Drosophila melanogaster: one gene and its partners. Changing the gene in region 4 together with the main gene of any one other region gives a genetic interaction. Each region holds a gene or a part of one and is shown on either strand. Other genes may lie near its edges.

Region 1 (4,975 bases), 7.1 Mb from region 4:
CCCATCTCATCCTTGCGCACATTGAGGTTCAGTGAAGCGGCAGCAAAACCCCTTCGCCTTCCTCCCCTTCCTGCGTTTTTATATCGCTCGCAGGCGGCACTTGCATAAACCAAATGCAGAGACAAGTGTCTTCGTCCTGCAGAGAGAGAAAGATGTGGACACTATGGATGGATAGCCACTCAATCCAAACAAAAATGTGCCACATAAACAAGAAGACGCTGATACGTTGAGTGCATTTTACATATTTTTTTACTACTCTCAGATTGTTTATTTATATTGAATACAAAAATCGGACTTTGCTTATTTAAACAAAATTCCTCGAAGTGATATTTTTCCAAGTGTTTGGCCTGCTTGGCTGGACACGCTGAATCGTGGAGGTTTGGCCTTGTTCCCTCCTGATAACCCATCTTCCAACTCCGATCTCCGAAAAGGGCTGCCGGCTTTCGACGTGTGTCAAGTGTGCTGCATTTGTTTAATGCCAGCGCTCAGTAATTGGAAAGCATGTCGAACATGTCGAATTTATTGCCCCGCAAAAAGCACACAGATACAAATTGAAACGGTTACAGATTACGGATGCAGCTAGCTACACATGGCCACAAGGTTACATAGACACGGATACAGATCAATGGGGGAATTCAGAGCATTCCGAGTCAATGGCTTGGAAGAGCCTCAACCAAATGCAATTAATCAAACGCAAGGGGCCAATGTCAATTACATGCAAGAAACCCCCATTTCGGTCTCCTATTCTCCTATTCCTTCGATTCCTCCCAAAATCCCTTCGATTCGTTGCTATTCGGAAGTATTCGGACCACGTCAGCTGGCCAAATGCGAGTTGTTGGCCAAACGACGATGTCTTGGCCAACACCTTCCTGTAAGCTATAAATTCCGCCGACACATACATACATCTACCAGCGTAGCCATTACCCACGACTGTTGTCCTTGTGGGCCAAAAGCTTGTTCGGTTTCTGGGTCCCAGCATATGTTTATCACTGCTGCCGAATTCTGCCAACCAAAATTGCATTAAATATTTTGCATAATTCGATAAACTGAAATCTAATCGAATGGCAAGCAGGAACATGCGAATTTCTGGCATACCTATGTATAGATCCCAATTGGAATAATGATTCATCCCTAATGGCTTCGTAATTGAAACTATTCACTTAACAGCTCTTGACACTTGAACCTCATCATAACATGGAAAACGGTCATTTGGTCGGTTTTAATGGTGTACTACATTTTTGGTTTTGACAGTGAACTTTTAGCATATTATGTTTCTGAACATAAATTGCGTTGATTTAGACTATCGCTTAATTATGCCAAATAATATGTTTGTTTGTTTATTTAGTTTTCAAACCAAGGCGTTCAACAGAAAATGAATTATTATTGGTGGGACACAAAAACTAGGCTATATGGAATATTATTTATTAATATTAACAAATGAATACACCACATGTAAATTTATAAGTTAGCAATTTTATGTTCAAGTTTTACCCGTAAGGGATAATGTTCCACCATCTTTAGATTCGCAAACTAATTCCGATTACAGGTGTTGGCCCGATGCACAGATAACACATTTATTTAACATTTATTTAATAAATAGTAGTAAAATTATATAAATATCACATTTAATAAATTGAGTCGATTTAAATCTTTGAGCATGCAAAGCGTGCTGCAAAACTAATTTACTGATAAGAAAAAGACTTTCGAAGTTTCCAAAGATTGAATATCCTACAGGTTGAAGAATCCTGGATCAAATTGCACGTTTTTATGCTCGGGGATGCAAACCGAAATTTGGTGGCACCTCTCTCTGCTGCCGCAACATGTTGCAACAGTCGCGGCAATGTTGCTGCAACACGCAGTCACCCCCCGCAGAAAATCCACCACCGACGAAAGTATCCATCGGATACACGAACTCGCTTCGGCTTCCAACTGAGTTTTAGCAAGAAACTCAGTTTCTGTTTCTGGTTTTGCCAGTTACCACTGCGACTCCGGACCGATTGGACGCGTTTTGAGCGTTTGGCCAGCAAGAACGGTATTATTTTTCACTCGGGGCTACGCGTGCGCGTCTCTGCAAAGTCAAAAGCAAAGACAAATGCAAAGGCAAGTGCAAAGCCAAAAGGCAGAGGTAAACGCAAACCCAAAGTAACAACTTCGACGGTCGAAATTACCGGTTTTTCGCCAACACAACATACAACAATCCTCGCTCTCAGTGAATTTTAGCGCGCGGTCTTTTCTTCGCCTGCTGTTTTCAGAAAAGTGCGTTGGCTTTTCCAACAACCACCCCCTTTTTTTAGCCGCCCAGCTTAACGGTCGGGGTTATAGTCGGTTTAGCATTCGAATTATTCGAATTTCCCGGAATCAAAATAGTTAAATCAGTTTAAACAGTGCTCTAGAGTGAGGCCAGTCACACAAACTGGCGAGTGCTAATTATAATATATTGTGTTAATAATACAAACACAAGATTCACGCAGAGGAAACAACACGGATGCGCGATTTTAAATGCAATATTATAAATATTTAACAATGCAGCCGTGCAGCTAAAGCGGATTATTGGCCACCCACGCGTGGAAATTCAGCGGCAGAGCAAACAAAAGCCTGTAAGTTCACACGTTCCAGCCAGGATATATCAAGGATATGTGCATGTGCTCGCGCATATACATATGTCCTTGTGGGCGGGATGCGGCTGCATTCTAATGGGAATTGTGCGACGCATGACACCTGATTCATGACGTATGACAGGTGTCGTTCCAACAGGACACTATATGTTCCGCAGGCGTGGCCTTAAATCTCTTAGATAAACTTCGTATTTAAGGGCTTACGCCATAGCGGAATCGCGTAATTCATATTTTCAAAGGGTTATAAGCTCTAGAAAAGTATTTTGTATCTGCATATAAATGGGGGCCTGTATGAAATATTGCTAGAACCTTTATTTGTTATATGATATGGAAAGACGCTTAGTGGTTCTGGCTACCTCTGAAATGTTTCGATTTAAGACGTTCTTAATTAACGGCTTTCAGCTCTAGGGCTTCGGCAATAAAATAGAGCTCCAATTGGGCCTTTAAACCTAAGGCCTCTTTCTTGGCCATCTCCAATTAGCAGTTGGCCCAAACAGTTGGCCGATGGCCGAAGTCGAAGTCGAAGTCCGACGCTCACACAGTGCAACTGTTAAAGTTCAGAGCCATCGCAAAAAGATACAAACGCGAAGCTCTAAACAAACATTAAACTGAATACCAAATGAGACAACAAAAGGAGGAAGCACAATAAAAGTCACATTAAAACGTGGGTCAAAAACGCGGAGAGCGCGAGGAGAGAAAGGAGAAGAGTTGGGTCAAAACATAACCGAAATCGGAATCGGGGAATCGTGGAATCAAATGCCTGCACGAGATACAAATGTATCTGTATCTGAGCGTTGCAAGTGCTTTGTTTTCCCTGCATTTCACACTTGTCCATGGGATTTTGCCTTTGCCATTGCGTTTGTATCTTTGTTTCTGCGCCCTTTGTCTGGCGCATAAATATTTCAGCAGGCCGGGACAAACTTATCTGCTGGATACATTATTCACTCGACTCAGTTTTGTCGGATTGCCAATTTATTAAGATAGATTTTATTTTCGAGGCCATTAACAGGGCCTTTGTTATATTTCGATGGGGGCCAGATACTCTCGCACATTTATGTTTTATGATTTTCTAGTTGGAATGCGGTGTGTTTGGTGCAATTGGAAGAGTCAAGTCAAGTCCATTTTGAGCCTGCCAGTGGCAAGTAGCTGAAAAATTGTTGTAAGACTGGTTTTCTGCTACTGCTCCTCGTTCGACCCCTTTCTCCCTGCCTCTCTCTAGCTCTCTCTGTCTCTCTTTCTCGGCGTGTTACCAACCTTTTCCCATTCTTCTTGCGGCTGGTGCAGAGAAAAAAAAGTTATTTACTTAGGTTAATTATGTGATCCAAGTTTAGTTACACACAAAAACATCAAATGTCGTTCTATTATATTTTATAAGACGATTAATATTAAGAGTTAAAGGCTTAAGGTGTTATCCTTTAATTTTTACAATAGGCTGTTTTCTTGAAATATGTGTAGAATGAGTTTAATCCATTTATATTTGAAATCAAATAATTGCGGATATAAAGATTAAGTTGTAGTAGAGGAATTACTTGAATAAAATTTAAGAAAAAGTAGGTAAATAAAATATTTTACCGTGCTTAAAATGAGTTTGTTAGCGCCTGGCTCTCTTCGCGGTTTTGCAGCTGTCTCGGCCAGGTTAGGAGCAATCCACCACCGGCAGGCAGATCCGCTACGGGCCATCATCCTGACCAGAACGCATCCTCTTCTTCTTCGGTAGCCGCAACCTGTTTTTCATTGGTTATGTTTTTTGTTTTTTTGAGTTCGAAGTGATCAGTTAAGACTTCAGTTGGCCAAGGAGCCAACGAAAAAGGTGATTTTTTCCGGCTTCTGATGCCACATTCACTGCGAATAGCCAACTCGCACGGCGAACTAACCTCAGTCAATCCATTCGATATCCATGCCGGCATAGGAAAACTCGTTATGACTCTTGATTAATTAACATTTGAATGCTGTCTCGTGCCAGTTAATGTGGCTGATTTGTGACCGGCTTGAGTCCATCAAAATATCAACAGTCTATTGTGGAATTTATTACAGAATCAGAGGGCCAATGGCCAAATGAGATTTGCATGGCATGGAGTTGGACGAATTCGTGTGCACACACCAGAGATTCATTGATGACGTTGATGGTCCACATTTTTCGGTATCTTTTGTGGGTTTATGGTGGCCTCTCTTGGCCACTACTCACACGGCTATCCATGAGATACTTCTGCGTAGGCATCGGCCCTCTTGGTCGCGCACTCAAAACTGGTTTCGGCCACATTCAAAATTGTTATGTTAGAATAAAAGCTTAATTGATGCATATACACACGTACGGTTCAGTTTTATACGGCAGCAGTGGTCCGTAGATACAGCCGAAAAAA
Region 2 (4,730 bases), on a different chromosome or scaffold from region 4:
TTATATGTTTGTTTATTATTATAGTATATAAGTGATTTTAAAAGTGCACTGCTTATTTATCTGAAAATTGTACTTTAATTTTTTGTTAAGTGTATCTAGCGATTGCAAGGGGGAGACCGAGAAAAAGAGCCTTTTTATGCGGCGCAACTTTGGCGCTTTTTATTAAACAAGCCGACGAAGTGTAGAAGCGAAGAATAGGATGAGGAGGTGGCGGTGGGGGAGAACTGGGGTTGATGGAGCCAAGAAGAGAGCGGATAAAAAGAGCAAAGCATAAAATGAACTTTGCCGGCTAAACCGGTAACACTTGTTTAACGCAAAAGAGAGTGCGGGAGAGCCAGTTATGTGCTGAAAGAGATATGTTAAGTAGAGAGCGACAGAGACAGAGAAAGCCTGATCGGAGAAAAGGGTTCTACAGGTGACAAAGACAAAAGACTGCCAAGACTCCTTTAATGTCATCATTATTGTCAATATAACAAGTTTATTGACTGGCAGCAGATGCCTAACCCCCCACACCTCCCTTGGCGATCCACCACGGGGTCATTAGACAAATTCCCGCGATAAGTTCTCTTCACTCATGCTAAAGCTCAGATTAAACGCAAGTTAATGACTTAATTAACTGCCGGAAAAAAGCGAGCAAGTAAACAAACAACAGCAAAAACTAAAGATAAAGATAAATGGTAAATGCAAGTGCGCAGAGAAATGGTCGACGATAAAAATTGTCGCAGAAATCAAGGAAATTAACGCGTGCAAATATGTATTTCTATAGAGGAAGAAAGCTGGAGAAAAGCAATTATTATAGGTATATTCCAGTAGAGGGCAAATGTCTTCTAACGGCACTTGCAACAGCTGAAGATTACCAAAGAACAGTGGGAAGTGTAACGGGCATCGATGGATTGATATAAAAAGATAAGAAGGTGCGGTGACCTAAGCAATATGACATTTTAGAAACTGAAAAATATTTAGCTGACATGCACTGTAACTTTTTGACATTCGGACATAAATGTTGTATACTCATTTCGTTTTCGGATATGTATCCCATTTCAGCAAGGATTTTTTGCTGGCAAAATGATTCTAGTCTTTTTATATTGGAGCCATTTTAAATGCAGCACTTATTTCTTTTATTCATTTTATAAGCATAAGATTGGTTATAATTTATTATATCGAAAAAATGGTTAATTAATTAATATTTAAATTGGAATCTATAAATATTTAAGTATTTACAAAGTGAATATCGATGTTCAAATTTCCATTGAGCGGGCCCAACACCTAGATTTGGGCACAGCTTCCGCCCCTAATTTCCTATTAGCCCTGTCGATTGCATAATCATCTTGAATTCTAATTAATTAAATGGTCTCTTATTTAGTTGTTTGTTGATGCTTTCTTTTTCCTGTCTGCTAATCAACAGGAGGCCAAGAAGTTGAGAGGAGACAGAGTGCGAGCGAGACAGCATCCAAACAAAAGGCATAACAGCCCTGTCTTTCACTTCGCTCTCTTTGGCTCTCTGGCTCTCCCGCCGAGAGTGTCAAATTCAAGGTCGCCCCCAGTGCTATACTACAAAGCGTATAGCTGAATAAAACCTCCTCTCACACCATTCGAGCGAAAGAGCGCATATTCAGCGTGTGAGCAGGAGAACGATACGGTGAGAGAGCGGCTTGGAAAGAGCCCCATGTTTTCAGTTCCTCAGTTTGTCAGCGTATGCCCTACCATGCGGATGTGCTCGCGGATTGATTTCGACTCGAACTCCGGCTCCGTTTTCGTCTTTTAACGTAAGTCCCGTGCGAAAAAGTTGAATTCGACTCCGTGTTTGTTCAGTTATTTTTTTGCGCGGTTTTCGAAAAAGTGAAAGAAATAAGGAAATTCAAAAAGCGGGGGAGGCATAAATGATATACAGCTAACGGTACTTATGTATGTGCATACAGCAAGATAAAAATGTGGCTGCTAGAAAAGTAAAGCCCGGTACTGTGCCAGATAAAAGCCAACGCTACTAAGTCCTAAAGACCCCCAAAAATTAAATTTTGACACAATAATATTTTGCCAACAACAAATAGCAAAGTCGAATTCAAACGGTTAAACCAAATTGAAGTCGGAAAATAACAAAAAAAGTCTAAACAAAATAAAGAGCAAAAGCAAACGCAAATAAGAGAATAGAGAGAAATATTTATTATTTGCTTATAAGGCCAAACTAAATATTTGCCGCCGGCAAATATTTAAAAGGTGTTAAGTGTTTCGTGGGAGTGAAGTTTTTAAACAGGGAAAATAAATCAAATAAGTATTCAATGGTGTATAAGTGAGTGCAAGTAGATGAGCAACATGTGTGTGTTTTAAAGTGTTTAAAGAGATCGAGAAAAAGCCCCAAAAGTTATTTGACAGCGATATCGAAAAATTCCAAAATGTGGCGTCAAATCCTGTTTATTTTACCCACCCTGATACAGGGGGTCCAGCGCTACGATCAGAGCCCCCTCGATGCGAGTCCGTATTATCGCAGCGGCGGGGGATTAATGGCCAGTTCTGGGACCGAACTAGATGGACTGCCACATCACAATCGCTGTGAACCCATCACCATATCGATCTGCAAGAATATACCATATAACATGACCATTATGCCAAATCTTATTGGCCATACCAAGCAGGAGGAGGCGGGTCTGGAGGTCCATCAGTTTGCTCCGCTCGTGAAGATCGGCTGCAGTGATGACCTCCAGTTGTTCCTCTGTTCCCTGTACGTTCCGGTCTGCACAATTTTGGAGCGACCCATTCCGCCTTGTCGATCTCTGTGCGAATCGGCGCGGGTATGTGAAAAGTTAATGAAAACCTACAACTTTAACTGGCCGGAAAATCTGGAGTGCTCCAAATTTCCCGTCCATGGAGGCGAGGATTTGTGCGTGGCGGAGAATACCACATCATCGGCCTCCACGGCGGCCACGCCCACAAGGAGTGTGGCTAAGGTCACTACCCGTAAACACCAGACGGGCGTAGAAAGTCCGCACCGAAACATTGGATTCGTGTGCCCCGTGCAACTGAAAACGCCTCTGGGAATGGGCTACGAACTAAAAGTTGGCGGAAAGGTAAGTTCTTTAATGAAAATAAATTCACTAAAAAGCGCCGAAAAATAAGCATCATATAAAAATAGGGGGTTATAGGCGCATACTGTATACCTTTTAAAACATTAGTTTTCTATTATTTATGCATTTAATTTTATGATTAAACATGTTATGATTATGACAAAAGTTAAAAACAAGTTCTATAATCATCCGTCGGGTGAGCACAAACTTTTAACCATGTCCAAACTAAAAACGAAGTTGCACAAATAAATTTTGGGTACTAACATCTGTTTAGCGAATGTATTTAGCGCTTTCTTGACTAAATGTATGCTTTAAGTACCCCAAGCCTTTTAGTGAGTATTTCGTTTATTTCTGGAACTTAATATGCCACATTTGGGTTGGTCCCATGTAGGTCAATGATTTTTTTATGTCTTCATTTGAACTCCAGACTCAATTTGTAGAGCAGCGTAGAAGTAGGGAAAAATGCAAATCCTGTTGCGCCGAGAAAACAATTTCCAACCACCAGGGAAAACAGCAGGAGGTCCTTGGCAGGCCAGGAATAACGAGAAGAAGGAGAGAAGGGCGACGAGCCCGCATTCTACCTGCCCGCAGCTCACAAAAGATGGTTAACAGCGGCAGGTAGATCGTTTTTTCTTTGGCTTCGGTTGAGGAAAGGTAAACCAGTTCTTTTTGGAGTTGTGTAATTTGTAATGCCTGCTTAAAAGTATTCCCAAAAAAAGTAAAAAAAAAATGTAACATGAACCATAGAATGTTTAATAACTTGAACTGAGGGTCAGCCTGTTGCATTTTCACGTTCTTTAATTAATTTTCCACCCTTTTCCTTTAGCAGCTTTTTTTCGGGTTCTTAAGCCCCTCAGCAGACTGATTTTTCCACGATTTATTTTCTGTTGGTTTTGGATGAGTGATGATCATCGTCTATGTGTTTCCAATGTGTTTATCTTTTGCTATTTTTAGCCGTCACTCTGTTGTTGCCGGCTGCCATAAGTAAAGCGCATTAAATACTTTGAGGCAGGATAATTCACACTTCCCTCAGTGTCTGGATATCTGGCGGATACATGTGTATCTCTTAGCTACTTTACCATTGCGATTTCTCGGTGTTTTTTCTTCTTTCGTCTCACTCGCTTTTTCTTGATTGGTCTCGTTTTTCCTTGGCTGTGTGTCATCAGTTCCTCTTGGCCTTGCTGCCTTCTTTCCATCCCCATATCATCATGGCTGTCAGCATCTTTGGTTTAGCCGGAGTCCCCAGACCCCGTGCTTAAATGCCTTTTGAGAGCTGCGTGCGAAATTTAGCAGCTTGTTTGCCTGGATTGCATTTGGCCCACATCACGATTCTGTCTGTAAGAGTATCTGCAAATGAATCCGTATCTGTATCTCTGTGTGTTTTGGCCCTGTTTGCCGTGCTTTATGAGCTAGATAGGTCTCTTTGTCTGCTAATGATAATGGCGCAGTGTGAGAGCGTGAATTAATGCTTATTGGATAGATAATGATCCGACAATATAAACATATAATTGCCATGTTAGAAACTAGTGGTATTAACAAGCGTTTTATAAGGGCTCCACAGGTACAGATAAGAAATTGGTCGAAATCAAAATTATAAACTTTATGATTAATAGACAAAGAACTATATTTTAACCCAGAGAAATATTGATTGATATTAGAAAAGACTATTAC
Region 3 (4,831 bases), 1.7 Mb from region 4:
CCAGACTATTTCTTGCACCGTAATTGATGAGCCCCTTCTGGGACCGGGCTTCCTGTACAACAGGCAGCCGGAACATGCCATTGTCGTGGGCCACACCAACATTGTCTTGTGCGCAGAGCAGTATGCCCGAGCAGTTATTCAGCTAGTCCAAAACATTCAGAACGATGCCAAGTATTCAAATATTCCTTGGCTGATAAATACGATGGGCTATAATAAGGGATTTGGTATCGAATTGATGGCTCTGCTGGTGGATCGCATTCGTCCCACGGATCTTGTACAGATTGCCAGTCCCATTCCAATCAATAACTTTGATTCTGTCCTCGACCGGAACAGTCTGTCGCAGATAAAACCAATTATATACTCTGCGGAGGAGTTCAAGATCAATGAAATACCAAAATACACACTCCATAAGCTGATAAGTGCAGTGCCTGCAAGGGAAAAAGGAACTTGGAGTCTCAGCGCCAAGGACATGCGGTACTCCAATCTTCTGGCACGTCTCAGTTCCTGCCTGACTGGAAATGCCAAATCTCTTACAGACTGCCAGCCGTTGGGAGTGTCTTTGGAATCCCTGAAAATCCTGCATCCCACCAGCAAGAATTACTCGCGCGAAGAACTGATTCGAGGCATGGAGGCTAATGTAGTATATCTGTGCCATCACGGAGCAGGTCTGCCCCAATGTTTGGGAATAGGTTTGTACACATTCACGTTCTTTTGTGGCTTATTAATTGAATTCCAAAATTCTTTTAGGTGTGGTTCGCGCCATCGACTACGAGCGCAAGGAGTTATACCTGGTGCCAGCAATGCCGCTACAAAAGATGTCCCTGGTGGATTGTCTTATCCTCGGCGGGGAACAGTCCCTGCCGCAGGGCTTCCTTCGGGATCAGGGCCAAGGTGTGTCCAGCAGTGTGCCCTTCGTGTTCATCCTTGACGATTCGAAATCTTCGAAGAGTATTCAGCAGATCTACCATCGAGCGCCAGCCTTTCTGGGAGTACCAGCGAATCAACGAAACTAAAACTGAGCTTACTGTAGCAATCGCAATCGGATAACATTGTAAATAAAGTTAGGTTTATTAACACAAGGCTAGTGTGACAAATTGTGACGTCCTTTGAGGATCCGGTTCATCAGCACTCGTCGTCCCTCAGGCGTCGACATCCTAGCATTCCAGCCGTGGACATTAATTCTCTTCACCTCCATGGGTTTCGGAAAATGGCAGCGTACTTTCGGTTTCAGCACCGCCCGGTTGAAAGCGTGCTTATCCCGCACGATTAGAGTTTGTGCGGTGCTGACAACCGCCAGGCAGGTCCTGCAATGCCAATGTATGTTATTATACCACTCAAAATAAATGGTATATTCATTATTTACTCGCCTTTGGAGCATTCCTTGCAGCATGTTAAGTAATTTCCAGTTAGTATGACCGCATGAAGTCCGAATAATACCGCCTGAACAGCCGGTAAGCCGCTTTGGCGTTGCCAGACCATTGGGTTCGAAATTTCGAACTTAGCTGCATGCTATTTTACGTTAGCATGTAAAATGCATTACATATAGATGGAATCATACAATTAATCTAAAAAATCGTCATAATATTGGTCAAATGGAAAACCACCATATGGGGACAAATTAGATAAACCGCTTTTAATTGAATGGATCTGAAAGTAACCGAAAACTTTTTAAATATGGAATGAATATGTTTGGTTGTACATATATCGAATTGGTATTGTGCCATCTCTAGCTACCCACGATGGTTGTGGCAGCGCAGCTGTTGCAAATGAATCCACAAGATACATTTCGGTATATTTTCCGCAACGGATTCTTTTCCACCCTCAGTTGCGGTCACACTGCCTAGCCAACAACAACCACAACTCGGTGCCGTTAGGGCTGCGTTTGTTTTCTGCTCCCATTCAGCTGCATAGAAAAGAAAGAAAAGTGAAAAGTGTTCGGAAAACAGGCAGCATGTGAAGCATAATTACTCCACGGAATTACTATCTCAAACGAAATAGTTGTCGCCGAAAAGAAGTGCGTAAAATCGCGAGTGAGCTCGTGAAAATAGAATAAAAAAGCGCTCTGCAATTGAAGAGAAACATTGCTGCAGTCGTGTGTACGTGCGTGTGTTTGTGCGTGCGAGTGTGAGTGTCGCTCTCTGGACGCAATTTCTTTGGCCAAAAGAGTGGGGAAGTGGGGCAGGAGAGTCCCGAATCGAATCCCCGAAACAGGCAATCCGAATCCGAATCCGGTGCATTAAAAATAGCGCAACGAGGTGAGTAAAGATGCAAACTGCAGCATTCAGTTCACGAGCTGATGCCAACAAAAAGAACTCCAATTAGCCATGTCTGCAGCCAGCCAAAAAAATAATGAAGAACGGCAGAAAAAATACAACAAGAAAATCGATTTTCCTGAACTTACAATTTTCTCCGCCTCACTGGGCAAAAGGGGGGGCGAAATGGAGCTTGGGGAGCCGGCTACGGCTCCATAAAGTATACATAAATTGAATTTCGAAACACGGAAGCGAAATGGATGCACTGGACGAAATAATGAATAAATTATTTTGATATCGAAAAGTTATTCTCGTTAGAAAAAGTTTCGCTGAGGGTCTCGAACGCAGTCTGTTTTTATAAAAGCATATTATTTAGCCTTATCAAGCAAGAGGATGAATAAAATTGCATTAAAATGTATTTCGACTAAATTTCGACTTGCTATACTTTATTTCTCTGCGTGTAAAAGGGGGCAGGAGGCTGCACACGGCTGTTGTTCTTGTTTTGTTTGCTGGTGTGGATGATGATGGAAATACTTGCATATGTGTGTGCGTTCTGCACAGAGGGAGATGTAAAAATTGAAAAATCTGACCAGAAGCAGGACCCTCCGACTTTTGGTCCAGTTGTCATGGCCACCGCACTTAACAAATGATTTTAGCGGCCACTTTTTCCCGGATGCGAATGGGGCAGCTGTCACTCCGTTTGCCTCCTCCTCCTTTTCTCCTTTTTCTGATTTCATCTGTCTGCCCCTTTCTATCTTGCTCTCTCCCCGTGTTCTCCAACGTGTGTGTGTGTGTGTGCGTATTTTGATGACGGCACTCAGTTTCCGCCCGCACTGTGATTTTTGGCCATACACGGCACCAATGTTTCAGTACAGTGGAACCTGGTGCGCAGGAACCAAATGAAGTTAAGTTTAAAACTGCATTTACTGCGACCATTTATGAAATTTTTTAAATGAGTTACATTTCAGGTTCTTCTAGATTTGTTTTAATGTGAGTAAACAATTTCTGCTTTAAAACGTAAAACTCACATGTACATAATATACAATTGTTGGCAAAGCAATAAAAACTTATTACTACCATAAAAATAAATAGGTCGACATTTTCAGACGCAAGAACGCATAGAATGTGTGAACAATACGTACAATAGCTTATTGACACAATATTTAGCATTCAGCGGATTAACTCATCAACGTTGGTTTTTGATTGAATGTGTTATATTATCTATTTATGTACATATTATATTATATAATATTTCGGCATAGGCTTTAACTAACTTTATGCTTGCCACTGTTTAAACTGGCTTGGTTTATCATACGTTTTTCCCAATTCGCGAGTGCCTACTGTAGAAAATCCCCGGCATTACCACTCAGTTTTCGGCACTCTTTTGCGGATGCTGCGTACGCAAAAAGGGGACGTCGGCTGTTCTAAGAGGACTAGATGTTTCCTTTTCACTTCCGCCAGCACCCCTAAATTACGTGTCTCTGTGTGAGTGTCTCTGCACGTGTGTGTGTTGCGTGCAAGTGTGTTTGTGTGTGTGGGCCAACAAAATTACTTTTACGAGCATTTAGCATAGGTTGTTGTCCCTTCGCCCATTTCCCCGGTTTCCCTTCGCCACCAGTTAGTTTTATTTTGATGCGTTTTTAATCAGATTGCGTCAATTTGTTGCTGGCCCAACGATGAGGGCGGTCCCGGTGGAGGGGGGGGGCGTTGGGATTGTCCTATTAGCGCTTGTGTGGGAGTGAGCGACCATTTCCCGGGTTGCGTGTCAAGTGCAGACCCTTTTTTCGCCCGCTTTTTTCACTAATTATAAGAATGTCTGTTTTGGCCTCGCATCTGGATGATGGCTCGTCATTGGGCTTACATTCTCGCTTTTGATGACTCAAAACTTAACTTTTCACTTTTGCAGTTCTCTTTGTGGCACCCACGCAATTAATTGGATTGATAGATTGAAAGCCTTTTGTTTTTAATTTTAGCAAATTAAATGCAAGAATAATACTTAAATGATTATATAGATATAAACTTTGAAATTTGATTATGATAATATGATAATATGAAAACAACTTGTGCTGAAGGAGAGACAGCCGAAGTTTAGGCACCAATTTGCCAGCAAAAGATAACAAGAATTCATTGAATTATGTTTGTTTTAACCAGTTAGGTTATGCATTCTTATGTAAAGTTTACCTTTTCTATAAACTGTAACTGATGTTAAATTTCATTTTTTGTATTCGTTAGTTAGTTAGTAAGGGGATCAACACTTCGTTGTTCAGTCGCCTTGTTTTTCTTAGTACCAATTCTTTTTGCTTTGCGCTTCTCCGTGGCCCGTTAAAGTACAGAAATACTTGGCCAGGCCGGCCGGAGTGCGAGTATCGTATCTATCATGGCGGCAGCTGTCCAATTCTCCAACCAGCCGGCACTGGATCGCTGTTTGTTGTTGTTGCTCTTGTATCTGCTGTCTGTCGTCTTCATCAACGCCTTAGTATCTGTGTTCGCTTGCTTATTTATTTGTGTGCGAGAGTGAGTAAGTGGCGCTGTGTGTGTTGTTGGCTTGAACTTTATGGCATTGCGTTGTTTTATGTTTG
Region 4 (5,055 bases):
GGCAATCAGGTTAGACAAAAATGTCCTGGACAAAGGGACGCGCGGAGGGATGGAATGTTTGTTTGTGAATGCTTCTCTTCGGTTTCTTACTTTTGCATAACGGACAGATATAAGACTTTTTGAAGAAAAAAACCAAATATATAAGTACATTTAATGCGATTGTTGTTTGTTTTTAGTTATATACACCGCCACACTCGCACACAAAACACACACACCGATACATGCATACATATATATACTACTTAGCGGTATATGTACAAAAACGTAATCAAGCATTAGTGAAATGTTTCGACCAGTTAAAAACCACAAATTAAATTTATTACATGAAAATCAACTAATGTGTAAACGCAAAAACGGCAAAATCAATAAATAAAAAATGGATTAAACTAAGCCTAAATTTAGTTTTAAACATTTAATATATTGCAACAATAAACCGAAATGAAAATAAAACTCAAATTCAAACTTGAGATGCAAGTGTTTGTAATTGGGCTCCTGGAACTCAACATATTACATTAAATATTTTTAATTTTATCTTTATTTATTGTTACTTATCATCATGAATGTACTTTTTAAATATTTACTGTAAAATTGCATTTTACATAAATATTTTACATTGCGTAGAATGTCTAGTGCTTCAGTGAAAACTAGCGCCCGCTGCTTTACGTTCTTAACCACAGTTCCACGCGTGCGCAGCGCCAAAAGACAAACAACGTGAATTGGTGAGTGCGGGATCCAAGTGGGGGGAGCTCGGAGGAAAGGAAGCTGGGGGGAGTCACCCTTTACCATGGCGGAAAGCACACAAGCACCGTCCGTCGGTTCGTCCGCCGATCCACACGACACAGCGCTGATTGCCGCGCCGCCTGGCGAGGTGAGGTTGTAGGAGCCCGACTGAGGTTAACCGAAAGCCAGGCCGAGAGAACGGAACAGAGAGCGGCGGAGGCTGCGGCGGCACGGCAGCTACTTGGCGTTTTCGATTGTGGTACATGCACAACTATTTTACGTATGTATGCCACACGGAGAAAAAAATCCTTCATTTCACAGTGCTAACAATTCGAGTTGATTTATTTGATTTTATGTTAAATATATGCAATATTCGTAAATTTTTTTAATATTTAATCATACAAAGTGCTTTAGTGATTTAGCTTGTGTATAGGAAACCTATCAACAGTATTTTATATAAGAATTAAGAGTTGAACTATATTAATTATCTGAACTGCTTAACCGCGGAATAGTTTTCAGAAAGTGCATCTTTGTATCCAGTAATTTTTTGCAGGGACTTCTCTTGGCATGCGGTGATCTCGGTCTTTCTCTCCACCTCTCTCCCGCTGTTGTGTGTGTTTGTTTCTCTACCTGATGCCCGATTGCACTACCACTTTCACGCGGTTTACAAGCCGAATGACAACAACAAAAACAGAACAACAAGGCGGCGAGTTCGAAAGCGAAGTAGAGTGAACCGAGCAGCGAATTCGAATTTTCGACGATGAATGCAATGCCGCAGCACAGAAATAAACGCAAAGTCCGGGAGATACGAAATGCAGGAGCGGTTTGCCCGTGTCGAGGGTGGCTGTGGCTCTCTTTCTTGCCCTCTCTCTTTCTCTCTCTTTTGATCTGCCATCTCCCTTCGCCGCAAGTGCATGCTGAAGTGGAAGGTTCGTTGCCTAAGTCTTTTGTACCTGCCTGCGTTTCGGCCTCTGCAGGTGCACCCACACACACACACACAGATGGAAGCACTGGGCTACCTGTGTTTTAGATCGCACTTGTATGGGTGTTTGGGAGTGTAGAGACAACATCATCGATTCGAATGAATTTGAGTGGCGCTGCGCTGCCGGCGTCGCTGCCGCGTTCGCTCAATATCAGTTACGAAAGAGATGAAACCATAAAAAGCAATAATAATCGAGCGCTCTCTAACCAGCGCCGCGAACACAGACATCACCTTGCCACCAATACAACTGCACGACGACGTCGGCAGAGGTGGCAGCAGCGGCGGCAGCAGCACATTCAACAGTTGAACAATCTCCAATTGACTCTTTGGGCATTATAGCCAAGAGCCGAGATCCAGCGACAGCGACGACAAGTTTTCCGCGCACACGGAAAGTCAGCAAGTTAATACACCGAAAATATATAGTTTCAAATCCGACTAATCGTTTCAAATCGAAATTACCTGTGAGTGCGCGTGTGTGTCGCGATATTTGCGAAAAATCCAAAAGTTTCTACGCCAAACAAACAGCAAAAAGTCGCGCTTAAACTTTTTCGAAATTAAATAAAACACACACACGAATTTCAGCCACGAAGAGGAAGAGAAGGCTGAAAAAGCGAAAAAAAACCTCGTGTGTGTGTGCGTGTGTGTTGAGTGCGAGAGTATCTGTGTGTGTGTACGTGTGCATGTCTCTCGGAGAGCGTGAGCTTAAAGTGTGCCTGTGTGTGTGCGCTTGCGAGCTGGAATGAGACGCCATCAAAGCTGAGCAGCGAATAATAAAATGCAAAATAAAAATAGTGATTAATAACAGCAGCCAGAACCAGCAGCAATAACAAATGCTAGTGCGGAAAGCGCGTAAAAAATAGTGAAAATACTCATAGAAAAATAGAAAAAACAACAACAAATTGGCTTGAAAACGCAAATGCCAGGCGCAACGCCCCCGAACCGACCCGCCCCCTCAACTTTTGCGCCCTCCAGTAGCAATAGCAGCAATATGAGCAGCAGCAACATCAAATGTTAGGCCAAAATGCACAAACCGCCAGCAACAAAGGCAGCACCAAGCGAACGAAACAACAACAGCTCCACATACCACAAAGAGTGGCACATTAGAAGCGGCCAAAAGCAGCCAGCCGAGAGCATTGTGTAAGCCAAAGGCCCAGAGAGCCAGGCTAAAAGCCCCCAGACGCACAACAACAACAACAACAACTAAAACAGCACAAAGAGTGGCGAAAGGTGCACCCACCAGCAAAACAGCAACAACGGAGCAACCAACAACAGCAGCAGCAGCAGCAGCAGCCACATTTCAGTTACAGCTCCAGACTCCCAGGTTGCAGACTCCCAAAGCAAACAGACTCCAGTCCACGATCCAGCTCCAGTTCCACCGATCCGATCCACTGCTCCAGCGTGCTCGAGTGCCATAGATCCTCACCAAGTGCCAAAATCCGCATCCTGATCCCAAGAGCTCAAGGCACCCCGGCCCAAAAGTGAGTAGTACTTAGCCTACCAAGAAGTAATTATAAACGCATCAGGCTATGTAGCCCTGGTCGGTTCATGGAGGGATTACACCGTCAGAAATATAGCACCCTATTGACCATTTGGTTTTCGGCTTATAGATCCCTTTTTTCGGGAGATTCCATCACAATAGCTGGTATTCCCAATAAAGAGAGCAATAAAAGCGGGCATTTTTTGGGCACTACTAGGGTGTAGAAACTTTTCAAAAATAAATATTTTTCAAAACTTGATATTTTTAAAAAACATATGGTATTACCAAACTATAAGATATATTTTAGCTAGATTTATACATAGTACGTCAAGTTGATTCGATGGAGTTAATAGAAAAATGGTAATTGGATATTATTTCGATATTATTTGACAACGACAATCTCATAGAAATATTTTTAAACAATTTTGCTGGAGATGTAGGCATAAAATCCATTTAGTTCGTGCGGTTTTAAATTAAAATGCATTCTGCATGTTTTTTTAATAAGTTTTATTATATCTATACGGCTAGGCATTTTAAATGATTTCAAATGTATTGAAACTAAACGATTTCATTACCCTGCTGGCCAGTGTTGCTTTTGAAAGCCTTCGTTCACAGTGGACACCCTGTATGTTGTGCAGACGTAGCCTAAGTCTCTTGGTCCCAGCCTCAACTCGTGTTGTTGTTGTTGTTGTTGTCATTGTTGCTGTTGCTGTTGCCGTTGTGTTGTTGGTGGTATCTTTCGCGCACACATTCCTCTTTGTTTGGTTTTATTTTGTATTTCGTATTTCGAAGTGGCCGCTGCGCAGCGGCAGCGGCAGGTAAGTCGCACAGGTATTGGTATTGCTGTCATATTGCCGTTGTGCTCCCAACAATACCTTGCTAGAGCGGGAGAGTTGGCCATAAAGAGCGGTAGCGAGAAGGGATCAAGACGCCTCTGTCTCGGTCTCGGCCTCTGCCTCTGCGTCGACGTCTACTGCGCAGCCTTCTTGTTCGAAAATCGATGATGTTGCCCAGTGTTTGTGATTACGTTTTCCCCTGGACTTTTGTGCTGCCTTTTGCCTCTTATGTTCTCAGCTTCTTTTTATTATGATTTTTATTTTCTTTCTTTTTTTTTTTTTTTTGATTTTTTCCCTTCTTGATGATGGTGATCAATTTGGGGCTGCGATTATGGTACAGTAAAATGAACATCTACGCAGCACTCACACCGCCAGACACACAGATACATTCAGCCGTGAGATACACACGCACACAGCGAAACAGGCACATGTAACCCACACACAAAAAAAAGGGGGAACTTCGTGAGAGAGTTATTTTATTTTCGTGTTCGTGTTAACGTTTATTGTTTTTCTTTTCTTTAGCCTTTCTTCGTTTCTTCGGGACTTCTTGACTCCGTCTTGCAGCCGTTCCCGTTCCCCTTCGCGCTCGCCACCCCTGCCCCATCCATGCACGCCTTTATTTCCCTGAACATTCCCAAATACACGGAGAGAAAAGGGGATGCATTGATGGTGATATTATGAGGATTTATTTATGCATATAATTATTCTTAAAGAGGCTAAGAAGTCAAAAGCTAAAATAAAATCGTTTCAATGAGTTTCTATATCATCAGATTAATAATATAACTCAAAGTTTTGAATCGACATGGCATTTCTTGCCGTGTACCATCTACCAACTCTCCAGTCTCAGTCATTGGTTATTGATGCCCAACAACTCTGACCGTTGATGTCTTAGGGTTACGCTGCGCATTTCTTCTCTTGTCTTTTCTCCACCTCTCCCATCTACCCCTCTCCATCCCCCCCCTACATTCACGCGAAGTAAGGTAAAGATACGTAAAATCCAAATTTCAAATTATGTCAAATCTTAATGGGATTTGAAATGG

Evidence for each region.
Region 1: of grh (region 4) and stan, changing one enhances a phenotype caused by changing the other (phenotypic enhancement), as found in Drosophila melanogaster (one study listed by BioGRID).
Region 2: of grh (region 4) and fz, changing one enhances a phenotype caused by changing the other (phenotypic enhancement), as found in Drosophila melanogaster (one study listed by BioGRID).
Region 3: of grh (region 4) and Dg, changing one enhances a phenotype caused by changing the other (phenotypic enhancement), as found in Drosophila melanogaster (one study listed by BioGRID).

What each region holds. Positions count from the first base shown.
Region 1 is NT_033778.4:10,671,373-10,676,347, forward strand, and holds the start of stan (starry night), read left to right. Parts: upstream 1-1,972; 5' UTR 1,973-2,597; intron 2,598-4,975. UniProt on the Drosophila melanogaster protein: Involved in the fz signaling pathway that controls wing tissue polarity. Also mediates homophilic cell adhesion. May play a role in initiating prehair morphogenesis. May play a critical role in tissue polarity and in formation of normal dendrite fields.
Region 2 is NT_037436.4:14,272,665-14,277,394, forward strand, and holds the start of fz (frizzled), read left to right. Parts: upstream 1-1,678; 5' UTR 1,679-2,390; coding exon 2,391-3,062; intron 3,063-4,730. UniProt on the Drosophila melanogaster protein: Receptor for Wnt proteins.
Region 3 is NT_033778.4:16,095,552-16,100,382, reverse strand, and holds the start of Dg (dystroglycan), read left to right. Parts: upstream 1-1,818; 5' UTR 1,819-2,255; intron 2,256-4,831. Other genes in the region: CG8414 (uncharacterized protein), read left to right, coding at 1-689, 748-1,013; mRpL34 (mitochondrial ribosomal protein L34), read right to left, coding at 1,082-1,304, 1,368-1,390.
Region 4 is NT_033778.4:17,800,212-17,805,266, forward strand, and holds the start of grh (grainy head), read left to right. Parts: upstream 1-2,034; 5' UTR 2,035-3,180; intron 3,181-5,055. UniProt on the Drosophila melanogaster protein: Transcription factor that binds a CNS-specific regulatory element of the Dopa decarboxylase (Ddc) gene. Also interacts with sequences adjacent to other transcription units, including Ultrabithorax (Ubx) and engrailed (en).